Cricetulus griseus: one gene and its partners. The protein of the gene in region 1 binds, or shares a complex with, the protein of each later gene. Links are inferred from orthologs where the notes say so. Each region holds a gene or a part of one and is shown in the gene's direction. Other genes may lie near its edges.

Evidence for each region.
Region 2: the proteins of S100a4 (region 1) and Anxa2 are in contact, whole or in part, in a crystal structure (PDB 5LPU), measured with the Homo sapiens proteins. The link is inferred for Cricetulus griseus from reciprocal best matches to the Homo sapiens genes S100A4 and ANXA2. Residues at the interface, in NP_002952.1 of Homo sapiens: Lys35, Leu38, Pro43, Ser44, Phe45, Leu46, Gly47, Lys48, Arg49, Thr50, Asp51, Ala54, Phe55, Lys57, Leu58, Asn61, Leu62, Gln73, Phe78, Cys81, Ile82, Met84, Met85, Glu88, Phe89, Phe93; in NP_001002857.1 of Homo sapiens: Leu13, Glu14, Pro21, Ser22, Ala23, Tyr24, Ser26, Val27, Lys28, Tyr30, Thr31, Asn32, Phe33, Glu36, Arg37, Leu40, Thr44, Gln69, Asp70, Phe73, Arg77, Arg78.
Region 3: the proteins of S100a4 (region 1) and Myh9 are in contact, whole or in part, in an NMR structure (PDB 2LNK), measured with the Homo sapiens proteins. The link is inferred for Cricetulus griseus from reciprocal best matches to the Homo sapiens genes S100A4 and MYH9. Residues at the interface, in NP_002952.1 of Homo sapiens: Leu38, Ser44, Phe45, Leu46, Gly47, Lys48, Arg49, Thr50, Asp51, Ala54, Phe55, Lys57, Leu58, Asn61, Leu62, Ser64, Gln73, Glu74, Cys76, Val77, Phe78, Ser80, Cys81, Ile82, Met84, Met85, Cys86, Glu88, Phe89, Phe90; in NP_002464.1 of Homo sapiens: Thr1906, Ala1909, Met1910, Glu1913, Val1914, Ser1915, Leu1917, Lys1918, Lys1920, Leu1921, Arg1922, Asp1925, Leu1926, Pro1927, Phe1928, Val1929, Val1930, Pro1931, Arg1932, Met1934, Ala1935.

The regions. Positions count from the first base shown.
Region 1 is NW_023276806.1:63,942,360-63,946,482, reverse strand, and holds S100a4 (protein S100-A4), read left to right. Parts: upstream 1-1,245; 5' UTR 1,246-1,402; intron 1,403-2,442; exon of another isoform or gene 2,443-2,503; intron 2,504-2,639; 5' UTR 2,640-2,654; coding exon 2,655-2,795; intron 2,796-3,419; coding exon 3,420-3,584; downstream 3,585-4,123. UniProt on the Homo sapiens protein: Calcium-binding protein that plays a role in various cellular processes including motility, angiogenesis, cell differentiation, apoptosis, and autophagy.
Region 2 is NC_048597.1:181,008,771-181,013,000, forward strand, and holds the start of Anxa2 (annexin A2), read left to right. Parts: upstream 1-1,379; 5' UTR 1,380-1,487; intron 1,488-4,230. UniProt on the Homo sapiens protein: Calcium-regulated membrane-binding protein whose affinity for calcium is greatly enhanced by anionic phospholipids. It binds two calcium ions with high affinity. May be involved in heat-stress response.
Region 3 is NC_048595.1:374,865,677-374,868,028, reverse strand, and holds part of Myh9 (myosin-9), read left to right. Parts: intron 1-221; coding exon 222-350; intron 351-1,255; coding exon 1,256-1,344; intron 1,345-1,429; coding exon 1,430-1,553; intron 1,554-1,847; coding exon 1,848-2,056; intron 2,057-2,352. UniProt on the Homo sapiens protein: Cellular myosin that appears to play a role in cytokinesis, cell shape, and specialized functions such as secretion and capping. Required for cortical actin clearance prior to oocyte exocytosis. Promotes cell motility in conjunction with S100A4.

The DNA.
Region 1 (4,123 bases):
TCCTAGGGATGTCAAAGTAGTGAGGGGTGGAACAGTAGCTTCTCTTCTTGGAAGGGAGAACATTTGCTCTCTCACTTTGGAGGCTCAGCCATGTGCACACTGTGGCAGGGGCCTGCTCAACTCCTAATAAAGAAATGTCAGCTTGGCTTGGTTTGGTTCTTCTGATGGGACACACTGGATTTTGGGACTGAGTCCTTGGGAGTCTTTACCCCTCTATGTTCCATATCGCTGGAGGAAGGCAGCTGAAGGCAGGGGCCCTAAAGGCAGTTCCAGACCCCATAGGAATGCATAAGTCTCAGTATTCAGTAGGAAGGTGGGGCCATTACAAGTCCCCATCAGGTGAGGCTGGGGGTCTTTGTCTCCATCTCTCTGTCCCCTGTCTTGAGGTGGAAGCCCTTGTTTTGGGCTTTCTAGGAGGGCAAGAGGCTCCTTGGGAGAAACTCAGTACTTGTGATTAGAGCATCGAGGTATGTGGGTATGGGTGTGGCATAGCTGTGGGAAACCAGAGAGCAGTAGCAATAGGATTGGGGCCTCTGAGGTATTTGCTGCCAGCCAGGGAGGGAGCCTCTGTATTTACTGCAAGGGGAAAGGGATACTTTGAGTCAGTCCTCATCTCTGAAACCACAGCCCCTGAGGGTCCCAAGTTCCCATTTCTGACCATTGCTCAATCCCCGTATTTGTACCCCATCCTTAGAGATTAATCCTGACTCCCCATTTTACCTGTTTCTCCTGTAACTCTCTTCTCCAAGCTGAGTGTTCAAACCTGAATGCTCCCATCAGCCCCAATACCCTCCCTGGACCTTCTACCCATTCATGAACCTCGAGGCCTCATTACTGCCCTAACTCCATCACGCCCTCTTAGGCGTTTCCCACTTAATACCTAGGGTGGTACCAAGGCCCCTCCCGACTTGCCAGTCTTCACTCTGGGTCTTACTGAGCGTGACAGAGAGCTGTTTAGGCTGGAGAGAAGGGCTGACTGTCCCACTGGCCGGGGTCACCTCCCCAATTCCTGGGCCATACATTTCCATATTCCCCTCTTGCCCATCACCTCCCCATCTTCTTTCCTGTGGCCCACATCCCATGCCCATGTTGCCCCTTCTCAAAGCTTCCTTAAAAGTTGGCTGAGCTGTGGCTACTGGGTGGTATCCACACCATTCAGGTCTCTCGTGTCCACTGGGGCTTACTCAATGCTCGCCTGTGCCTGCTGGGTAGTAGGAAGCTTGGTTCTCAGGTTGGGCTGGTGGAGGGGCCTGTGACATTTACTACATCAGCCAACAGTAGGAACATAGTATCCAAGCTCCCCCCATCCCCTGCATGGGCAGGGCCCAGCAGAGTATAAATAGGGCAGACATTTGAGCTTTCCCCAAACCTCTCTGTTCAGCACTTCCTCTCTCTGGGTCTGGTGAGTTGTGTTGGCTTCATAGCAGTATTAGTGGTGTCAGAGGCTGAGGCTGGGACAGGAGAAAGGGAGGCTTCTGGGGAGACAGATGTTTTTACTAGATCCAGATGAGAGATTCTGATGTGGAGGCTGTGTGTGTGTGTGTGTGTGTGTGTGTGTGTGTGTGTGTGTGTGTGTGTGTGTGTCTGTGTGTCTGTGTGTCTGTGTGTCTGTGTGTGTCTGTGTGTGTTGCACAAGAATGAAAACAGCAACAAAAAGGTGTATAGATGCCATTTGAGCTCTCAAGATTTCTAAGATGCTGAGGCTTACACGTGTTGTTGCTACAGTGTACATCTGTGTTTGGGAGCCATGGATAGGTACCCTGATGGGTGTTTGCTGGGTCATTCAAGCCAGTGTGTGCGGGAAAGCAGGTGCAGGAAGCAAAGTGAGGGAACATGTAGGCTTTCTTCTTAACGTTTAAACTTCAGTTATTTATTTGTGTGCATGCATGCGTGGGTTGGGGATGGGGGGCTCATGCCAAGGTGCACTTGTGGAGGTAAGAGGGCAACTTGTGGGAGGGAGTCAGTCTGCTCCTTCTACCATGGGCTCTGGGGATCAAACTCAGGCCATCAAGCTTAGTGGCAGGCACCTCTACTTACAGGCTACCACTCCAGCACTCACCTGTAGACTTCTGTGTTCATATTAGTGCCTTATGGACATCCAGCACCCCAGGTCAAGAGAGCCTGGCTTCCCCACCCTCCCCTTGTGCCCCTACCTCTGCCACCTCATCTCACTCCTCACTAAGCTGGTCAATAGGCAGCTGGGTTTTTTCCGCTGTGGGCCCATGGGCAGGCAGCCAGCAGCCGCGCCCAATGCTGGGAGGGGGAAGAACGGGCCAGAGCCTGGTGCTTGTGGTTGAGCTGAGCAAGGACGGAAAACTGCTGTTGTTGAGGCCAGGCCCGAGGACAGTCAGCCCAAAAGCTGCTGGCACGAATCTCCAGAGATTGTATGGTAGGCTCTGCATGTTTCAGAGCCCAAAGCATACACGACCATCTTGCCATTAGTGGGTCCCACTCCTCTGATCTCTCTGGGAATGAGGACAGTCTCCTGAAGTGTTCCTAGAGGGTAGGTTGGAATGGAGCATTTAAAATGGGGGCAGAATGAGTCTATGACTTGGGTGATGAGCAGTGCCACATAGCCAGTTCTTGATACACTGTTGGTGTGGGTTGGGTAAGGCTACCTTTGTGTCTCCTGCCCCTAGCTCTCAACTGTCACCATGGAATACCCCTTAGAAGAGGCCCTGGATATGATGGTGTCTACCTTCCACAAATACTCAGGCAAAGAGGGTGATAAGTTCAAGCTCAACAAGTCTGAGCTGAAGGAGCTGCTGACCAGGGAGCTGCCTAGCTTTTTGGGGGTGAGTGGGTCCTGCCTGTGTATTTCATGTGTGGTGCATCCCCAGGAGGAGGTTGGGACTCTGGTAGGTAGTGCCTAGCTACAGTTGGCGTATATCTCTAAGGTGGGGAAATGGAGGTTGGAGAGCTTGCTCCGGGTGCTTGGTGTGGAACCACAGTGAACCATCTATCCCTCATTAGCCCTCAGCTGAGAGAAGGCTTAGAATGAACACAACCGAAGAGACAGAGAAAAAGCAAAACAACTGCCTAACATAGTCAGTGTCTGAACTGCAGGCTAGATCAGGACTGTTGGCAAGAGAAATTGAGTTTCTGTTTGTGAAGACACGATGGTGGAGGCACACAAACACCTGCAGAGTCTCTCCTCAATAACACCTTGCATTAGTTAATTTAATGCATCACTGCCATGGCTGCTACCTAATGAGATAATTAAAGCAAACAAGGAGAAGATGTGGTCCTCCCCGTTCCCAGCTACCTCAAGTGCCCGCATCTAGGGCACATCCTCCTCTACATAGCTTAGTCCCAAGGCTTCCTGAGTGCCCAGAGGCACTCAGGTGTTCCTGAACACCTGGCTGGAGGCAGAGATCTAGCTTGGGTCTGGCTTCTAACTGTTCTTCTTCTACTCCCAGAAAAAGAGAGATGAAGCAGGATTCCAGAAGCTGATGAGCAACCTGGACAGCAACAGGGATAACGAAGTAGACTTCCAGGAGTACTGCGTCTTCCTGTCCTGCATTGCCATGATGTGCAATGAATTCTTTGAAGGCTGCCCAGATAAACAGCCCCGGAAGAAGTGAAGACTCTGCAGATGAAGTGTGGGGGCGTGGTCTTCGGGAGGAGGGGGCTCTTCCCTTTTGGCTCTGAGCATAGTGCCTTACTCTGGCTTCTTCATACATATGCACAATGCTGAGCGAGTTCAATAAAGAGTCTTGAAACTATGTGCTGTTGCCTAAGAGACTGGAGATTGTGGGTTGGGTGTTGAGGGAGGGTATATCACAGGGTAGTGGTGGGGACTGCGGGGAGTTGAGCTGGGAGTTGAGCCTTGAGGGAACAAAACTAGAAAGGGTTGGGTAGGGGTTGAGTGGCTGATTTAACTAGCATGCAAGTGTGTGTGTGTGTGTGTGTGTGTGTGTGCGCGCACATACGTGCAACAAAGAAAACTTTGGGAATACTTAAGGCAGAAGCCACCAGAGGCTTGGCTTGAAAGGCTCCAGATGTGGGAAGTTAGCCAGTCCACCACCCTCCTTTCTCTCTCCAGATCTGCCTCTGGGCTCAAACTGAAGTTGGGATGGGATTGAAGGTCACATCTGTTGCTGGTTGGAGTCTGGAGGGAAGA
Region 2 (4,230 bases), on another chromosome or scaffold:
GATAAACATGGTTTTTGTCTTTAAAGCTGTCCATAATGAAGAGCTGTGAATGTAAATCAAACATTGTATCAAAAGTGATAATGTCCTTTTTTCTACTTGTTATTCTGCTGGGGCTCACATGTAACTTCTAGTGGCAAGGCTGGGCAACCTAGAGCCTGAGCTGGATGTTGGGACCCCAGTTGGGGCTGACTTCACAGCTAACTGGCTATGTGACAGTAAGCACAGTACTGAGCATCTCTTTCCCTGGCTATCCTGCTATCCTCGGAATGAACTGAGAGAGGAGTACAAAGTATAAACAGATGTTGTAGTCAGTTGGGAGCAGGGCTGAGAAGATAGCTCAGCTGGTAAAGAGCTTGTGGCCAAAGCAAAGGAACCTGAGTTCCATCCTCAATTCAGGCAGGTAAAATGGTTACTAACCAGCCAGTCTAAACCTAATTTGTGAGCTCCAGGCACCTTGTCTCAAATAACTCCTGAGGAACAGCGTCCCTGAGGCTGACATCTGGTTGGCTTCCACATGTGAACTACAGGCTCACACAAATAGATGGGAGAGATGATAAAGAACCATTAGGACCAGGAGAAAAGAGAGAGAGGTGAAATGTGCAGCTTAAAGACCCAGTGTGAAAGGTGTTCTGGATTCTTCTGTTAGCCTGAGGTTTGATGCAGTATGGGCAGTCACACACAGACATAGTTCACTCCTGCATTGTCCGTGTGACTGCCCCTGAAAATCAGGCTAGGAAAAAATGAAAAAATAAAATAAAACCCAGAGAAGCAATTGGTCAAGGGAATGAGAAAAACAAAACCCTAATAATCTACAATTAGGAAAGACGGTAGGAGGTCTTGTAGAGTGCTCTGAAGTGCTGCTGTCTGGGGGAAGGAGGCACCTGGGTGGGGGGGGGGTGCCTTACCTCTGAGTCTCCCTGACTGCTTGGAGGCCTTCATGCAGTTTCCTAGGCCCATTAGGCTCTCTAGGTCGTTTCAAATAAACCGCCCACCCCATGCTCCTCCATCTGGTGACCAGAGGTTAAACTAATATGTTTGCAGACGGTCATGGAGAGCTGGGTGCCAACAGCCTAACTCAGGGGAATCCAAGTATGTGTGTCTTGAAACAATTCTACCCTCCATTACCTCGACATCTAGAAGCCTATAAACAAAAGAAGAAGTGGATTGGGCAAGCCAGTCTGCTGAAATCTTAACAGCCGAGGGCCAGGCTGACCACTGGGCCCAATACCCTAGGAGTAAGGGGGGTAGGGAGGTGGAGGCTTGATGGGCCTGGGAAGGTGGTGAGGCTGTCACGTAGGGCAGGGCCGGGACTGGGCGGCGTTCCAGAGAGGGTGAGTCACCCGGAGCAGGGTGGGCACAGGCCGGGGAGGGGAGGGGAGGCGTGGCGGCTTTACGCAGGGAGGATGGGGCGGGTATAAAAGCCCCACCCAGCCCAGCCGGGCCGCTCGGCTTCTGGGGAGGCTTTCAGCGCTAGGCGCCCGGCCCAGGTAAGTGGGGCGCGGCCCGGTCATCCGCTATGGCCTCGGGGTTTCGGTGTTGAACCGGGAGCGGGCAGGCTCCGACGACGGGGACCCTGGGAGGCACCAAGAAGGATCCATCCCCTTGGGCGATCTACGCGTCCTGCCACAGAGTTGCAAAGTGTCCCGTGTGGGGTCGTGACACGTCTCTTTGCATACCACGCCTGGGGGGGGTGCAGGGCAGAGGTGGAGGAGACTGTGCTTCCCCTTGAGGTCCCCTGAGAAGCAGGGAGACCCTGTGTGGGGCGGGGAACCGAGGGGCTCGGCATTCCAGAGGTGCTAGGTGCCAACGGGGGACTGGGTGTGGCCGCTGGGGAGCCTGCAGCCCAACAGTGAGACATCTGTGGACTTTTCCCCTCCGCCTTCCGAACTGCGTCGTCCTCTCACTCTGAACCATAACTCCTGCAATTTCAGGTGTATTTCTTTGCTACTGACAAACGTAAATTTGTGAAGTCGGCGCGGGGAACCGGGCGAGGGCGGGGGCGGCGGCACCAGAACTTCAAGTCTTGAGTTCTTGGTGCCCTCCTTTACACAAAACAATCTCAGCTCAGTCTTTGTCGCGAACTCTAGATTGTTTGGTAGGACAGCGACCTCAGACCCTATTCTTTCTGAGGAGTTTGCCGCCCTGGAACGTGTGCAGAAAGAAGTATCCCCGGGTGGTTCAGTAGAGAAAGTTGCCTTGACTGCACTGAAGCCACCATGAGTCAATTGACAGAGTCTATAGAAAAGGGCGTGGCTCCTGAGCCCCAGGTTCCAATGCTGGCATGGAGGGCTGTGGCTCCAGAAGTTTCTTTATCTATAAAAGTGGTTTCCGAACCCTTGTTCTTAGCTCCACCCACACTGAGTTATTGAAGATTTCCGAAAACAAGTTCATTCAAAAATAGATAAGTAAAGCACACTGAAAACACAGCGTTGTACAAATATAAAAGAAAACAAAAAGCTGTTACTTGAGACATAGCGGTAATCTCAAAACTCGGAAGACCGAGGCAGCAAGATCCTGAGTTTGAATCCAGCCTGAGCTACAAAGTGAGACACCATCCTCCCCCTGACCCCCGTCTCAAAAAACAAACAAACAAAACGGAGAGCTGATCTAGCTCATTGGTAGAGTACCCCACTAAGACACACAAGATCCAGGCTTTTATTCCCAGAACCAGAATAACCAGAAAGTTATTCATTTGTGTAGTAATTTGCCATATTCAGTCCCAGCCCTTAACAACAACCATAAACTCTTGGAATCCAAGGTCCTCAGCCTTTAACATACAGGGGTATTATCAGATGAGTCTGCAACTTGGACTGGGAAGCCACTTCCCGGCTCTCCCCCAGGAACACTATAGAAGGAGTTTGGAAACCCATGCTAGCACACTCCCCCACCCCAATTAATTAATTTGCACTGTATCTGAGTGCTGCCTAATGGCAAGGAGCAGGATACAAGATGGGAGGGCGAGGGGTGGTCCATGGGTAGGAATAATAAATCACTGATGCGGTTTTCAGGGTTTTCTCCGTTTAGTTTTAAATATAGATTTGATTAAATCGTGTTAATTGAAAACTTGTGTCTTTGCCCCCTTCTCTGGTTTCTTTTTCCTGCTTCCCTGCCACCTTCTTGCGGTCTGTGTCCCTTGATGTGTTACGTTGGCTTTGGACACTTGAGCGGCCCCTCCTCCACACCCACTTCCTCTTCATTTCAGTGTGTGCTGCGCCCAGCCAAAGCCTGTGGGTCTGAGTCAGGGAACCTGAAGATGGCAGATGAGATCAGGGCAGAGCCCCGTCCTCTTCCACTGAGTCCACTGCTCACCTTAGATCCCGGGGTTTCTTTAGAAGAGCCCGTCGCCTCTGCTGCAGCAGGGGCAACCTCCTAGGTGCGCACCTTTCTGTTGAGGGTTTCCTGTTTGGTGTGGTAGAGAGAGAAGTTCAGGAAGTTTTGCTAACTAGCCAGGCAGCACTTAAGGCTTTGACTGAGAGCTTGGGTTTGGACTGGTGCCTCTCAATGTTTCACATCCTGTGTCTTTGAGTTATTAAAATACCCTATTGATTGGCATTACACATGCAGTCTTGGCCACTGGCTTCCTGACTAAGTTCCGATTTAAGTAGTTTTCCTGGCAAGACAGGCACTCTCCTAAATTGCTATTGATTTTTGAGAACTCTCATCTCTCTCTGCACCTTTGGGCCTGCATTAATGTGTGTGAGGGTTGATGGGAACTTTGGCTCTAATTCTTGGCTTGTGCTGGGTGCCAGACCTGTTTCATCTGGGGAGAGTGGGTGTGTTACAAAAGGAGTCCCAGGCACTGTGGGCTGCTTTCAGCATCCATTTGTCTTACAAACTGTCTTTTACGTACCCACTGTGTCCCAATCACAGTTATGGTACTGAGGATACAGTAGTAGACTAGACACACATGCATGCATATTCGTTCACTGTGTGCTTGTACATACAAACACAGCCCTTGCCTTTCAGATTTTGAATCTTTTAGGGAAAGAAAAAAAAAGAAAAGATACGTGTGTTAATTGTAGAGATAGCAATTTGATTTGACATTTTGTATTTTCCTAAACTAATATTTACTCACAAAACCAGCTGGGTCTCCATTCCCAGCTTCTATACAGTTGTTTCACAGACCTAGACATGGAGCTGAGCTTATCCCAAAGAGGTGTCTAAATAAACTGGATTTAACCTGTTCTTCACAATCAACTGGGAGACTTGAGTAGAAGTTGGCTGTTCTCT
Region 3 (2,352 bases), on another chromosome or scaffold:
AAGTATAAGAAGTAAGGAGGACAGTTTGCACTGTATCCAGGGGTCATTGCTGTTAAGAAATGCTGTGTAAGTCCTTGGAGGAGGATCCAGGTGCAGAGCCACTTGCCTTTGGTTACTTTTCTGCCTGTTTATAAAGAGGTTGGCCAAAATGGTCCCAGGCTCAGAGAGGTCCCCACGGGTGTGAAGTAGGTGGAGACGCCAGACTCTCTTGCTGCACACAGGCCCAGATGAAGGACTGCATGCGGGAGCTGGATGACACGCGCGCCTCCCGAGAGGAGATCCTGGCGCAGGCCAAGGAGAATGAGAAGAAGTTCAAGAGCATGGAGGCTGAGATGATTCAGCTGCAGGAGGTGGGCCAGCTGTGGGGCACGGGGCTTCTGCCTCCTGGCCAGCAGGGGGCAGCCTGGGGCCTTTTCCTGTTAGTAGGCCTCAGCCCAGAAGGGAAGGGCAGAAAAGCTGAGCTACCTCCTGGCAGGAGTTAATGGGAGGGGTCCTTCCAGGGCTCATGCCCTAGCCACACAGTTGGCATGGCATGGTGTATGCGTTCATGCTCATGAACATGTGTAATGGGGACAAGGATGAGACTCAGTACTCCCCACCTTTTAAAAGAAAATGTGACTGCTTAGTCCCCAGTCCATCCCATGAAGCGGTGTGTTGATTATAAGCTTACAGCGATTGCACATGGCAAGGAGGGTCCTGAGTGCCCCCTGGGCTGCTGCTTTGGTGACACATGAAGCACATGGTGGGGACAGGTGGGGTGGTGGACTTCCCACAAAGTGCCACCGCCGGCTTATGAAATGCTTGGTCAGACCCTCTGCTCTGGCATGGTTCTTCTCTTCTACTGGGTGTAGGATAACTCCCTCCATTGTCACCGTCATGCGTGGTGCTCTGGAGGTTTCTACAGTCTGTCTGCTGCCCTTAGTGGCAGAGTCCTGGACTCTAACCTGCACTCAAGCCTGCTTCATTAATCATCTCAGTATCTGGTCTGACCATATGCAGGGGACCAGTACTGCAGGTCTGTCCACACAAGCTGTCCCTGTTAGGCCTGGGTGGTTCCTGTTTATAGCCCTGGCTCCTGGCTTGGCTCCAAGTACTTAGGCATAGGGGCTTTATAAACACATGCCTAAAGGTGCCTCGGGCTGGAATTGACCCTGTGAGCTAGAGGAACAGAGGTATGTGCTGAGGGCCAGAGAGGACATGCGGCGCTGAAGGCTGTGTTGGTCCCAGTCATTTATGTTCTTGGTCCTTGTGGCAGGAATTGGCAGCTGCTGAGCGTGCTAAGCGCCAGGCCCAACAGGAACGGGACGAGCTGGCTGACGAGATCGCCAACAGCAGTGGCAAAGGGTGAGCCAGAGGGAGGAAGCACAAGCAAGGGTGTCTGAGGGCCTCCCCAGTTACCCAAGCCCTCACGTCTCTGGGTCCTCTCCAGGGCACTCGCGTTGGAGGAGAAGCGGCGCCTAGAGGCCCGCATTGCCCAGCTGGAGGAGGAGCTGGAGGAGGAGCAGGGTAACACAGAGCTGATCAACGACCGGCTGAAGAAGGCCAACCTGCAGGTGAGCATCGTGGTGGCCGCTGACCCTGCATACTGGGATCAAGACTCTTTGCCTGAGCTCCCTGTGGTCCAGCAGACCATGGCGGGCAGAAATAGGATGGATGAGTGTCCACTGTTCTCACAATGCCTCTGACCCGTGGCTTCAAGACCAGGCTTCAGAAGTTTCTGGGTCCTGTTCATGAGTAGATTCCTCTCTGAGAGAGCTGGGGTGTTCTTTGGTTCTGATGTCTGAGGAGAGGGTCCATGCAGCTGGGCCCCAGCCCTCCCTTGAGGTCACCGTACTGCCTTCTTGCAGATTGACCAGATAAACACCGACCTGAACCTGGAGCGCAGTCATGCTCAGAAGAACGAGAATGCGCGGCAGCAGCTCGAACGCCAGAACAAGGAGCTCAAGGCCAAGCTGCAGGAGATGGAGAGTGCTGTCAAGTCCAAATACAAGGCCTCCATTGCTGCCTTGGAGGCCAAGATTGCACAGCTGGAGGAACAGCTGGACAATGAGACCAAGTAGGTACCCCACCCAAACTGAGGGCAGTCAGTGCCGGTCGGGTCAGGAATGAGCTCTGTCTTCCAGGCTTCACAAGCAGTCTTCATTTGTTCTGAGAAGTATGGAGTTTGGGTGGGAACCCATAGCCCACACCCAGAACTGGGAGCTTTGTGGGCTGTTCTAGTGAGAGACCCTGCCTAGCTGTCTTGGGGCTCAGAACTGAGACTTGGAAGTAATGAGGACCATGCTGGGTCCCAAGCCTCAGATTCTCCATAGGCTGGCTCCTTCACTGGTCTCATGGGTCAGCCCAGGTCCC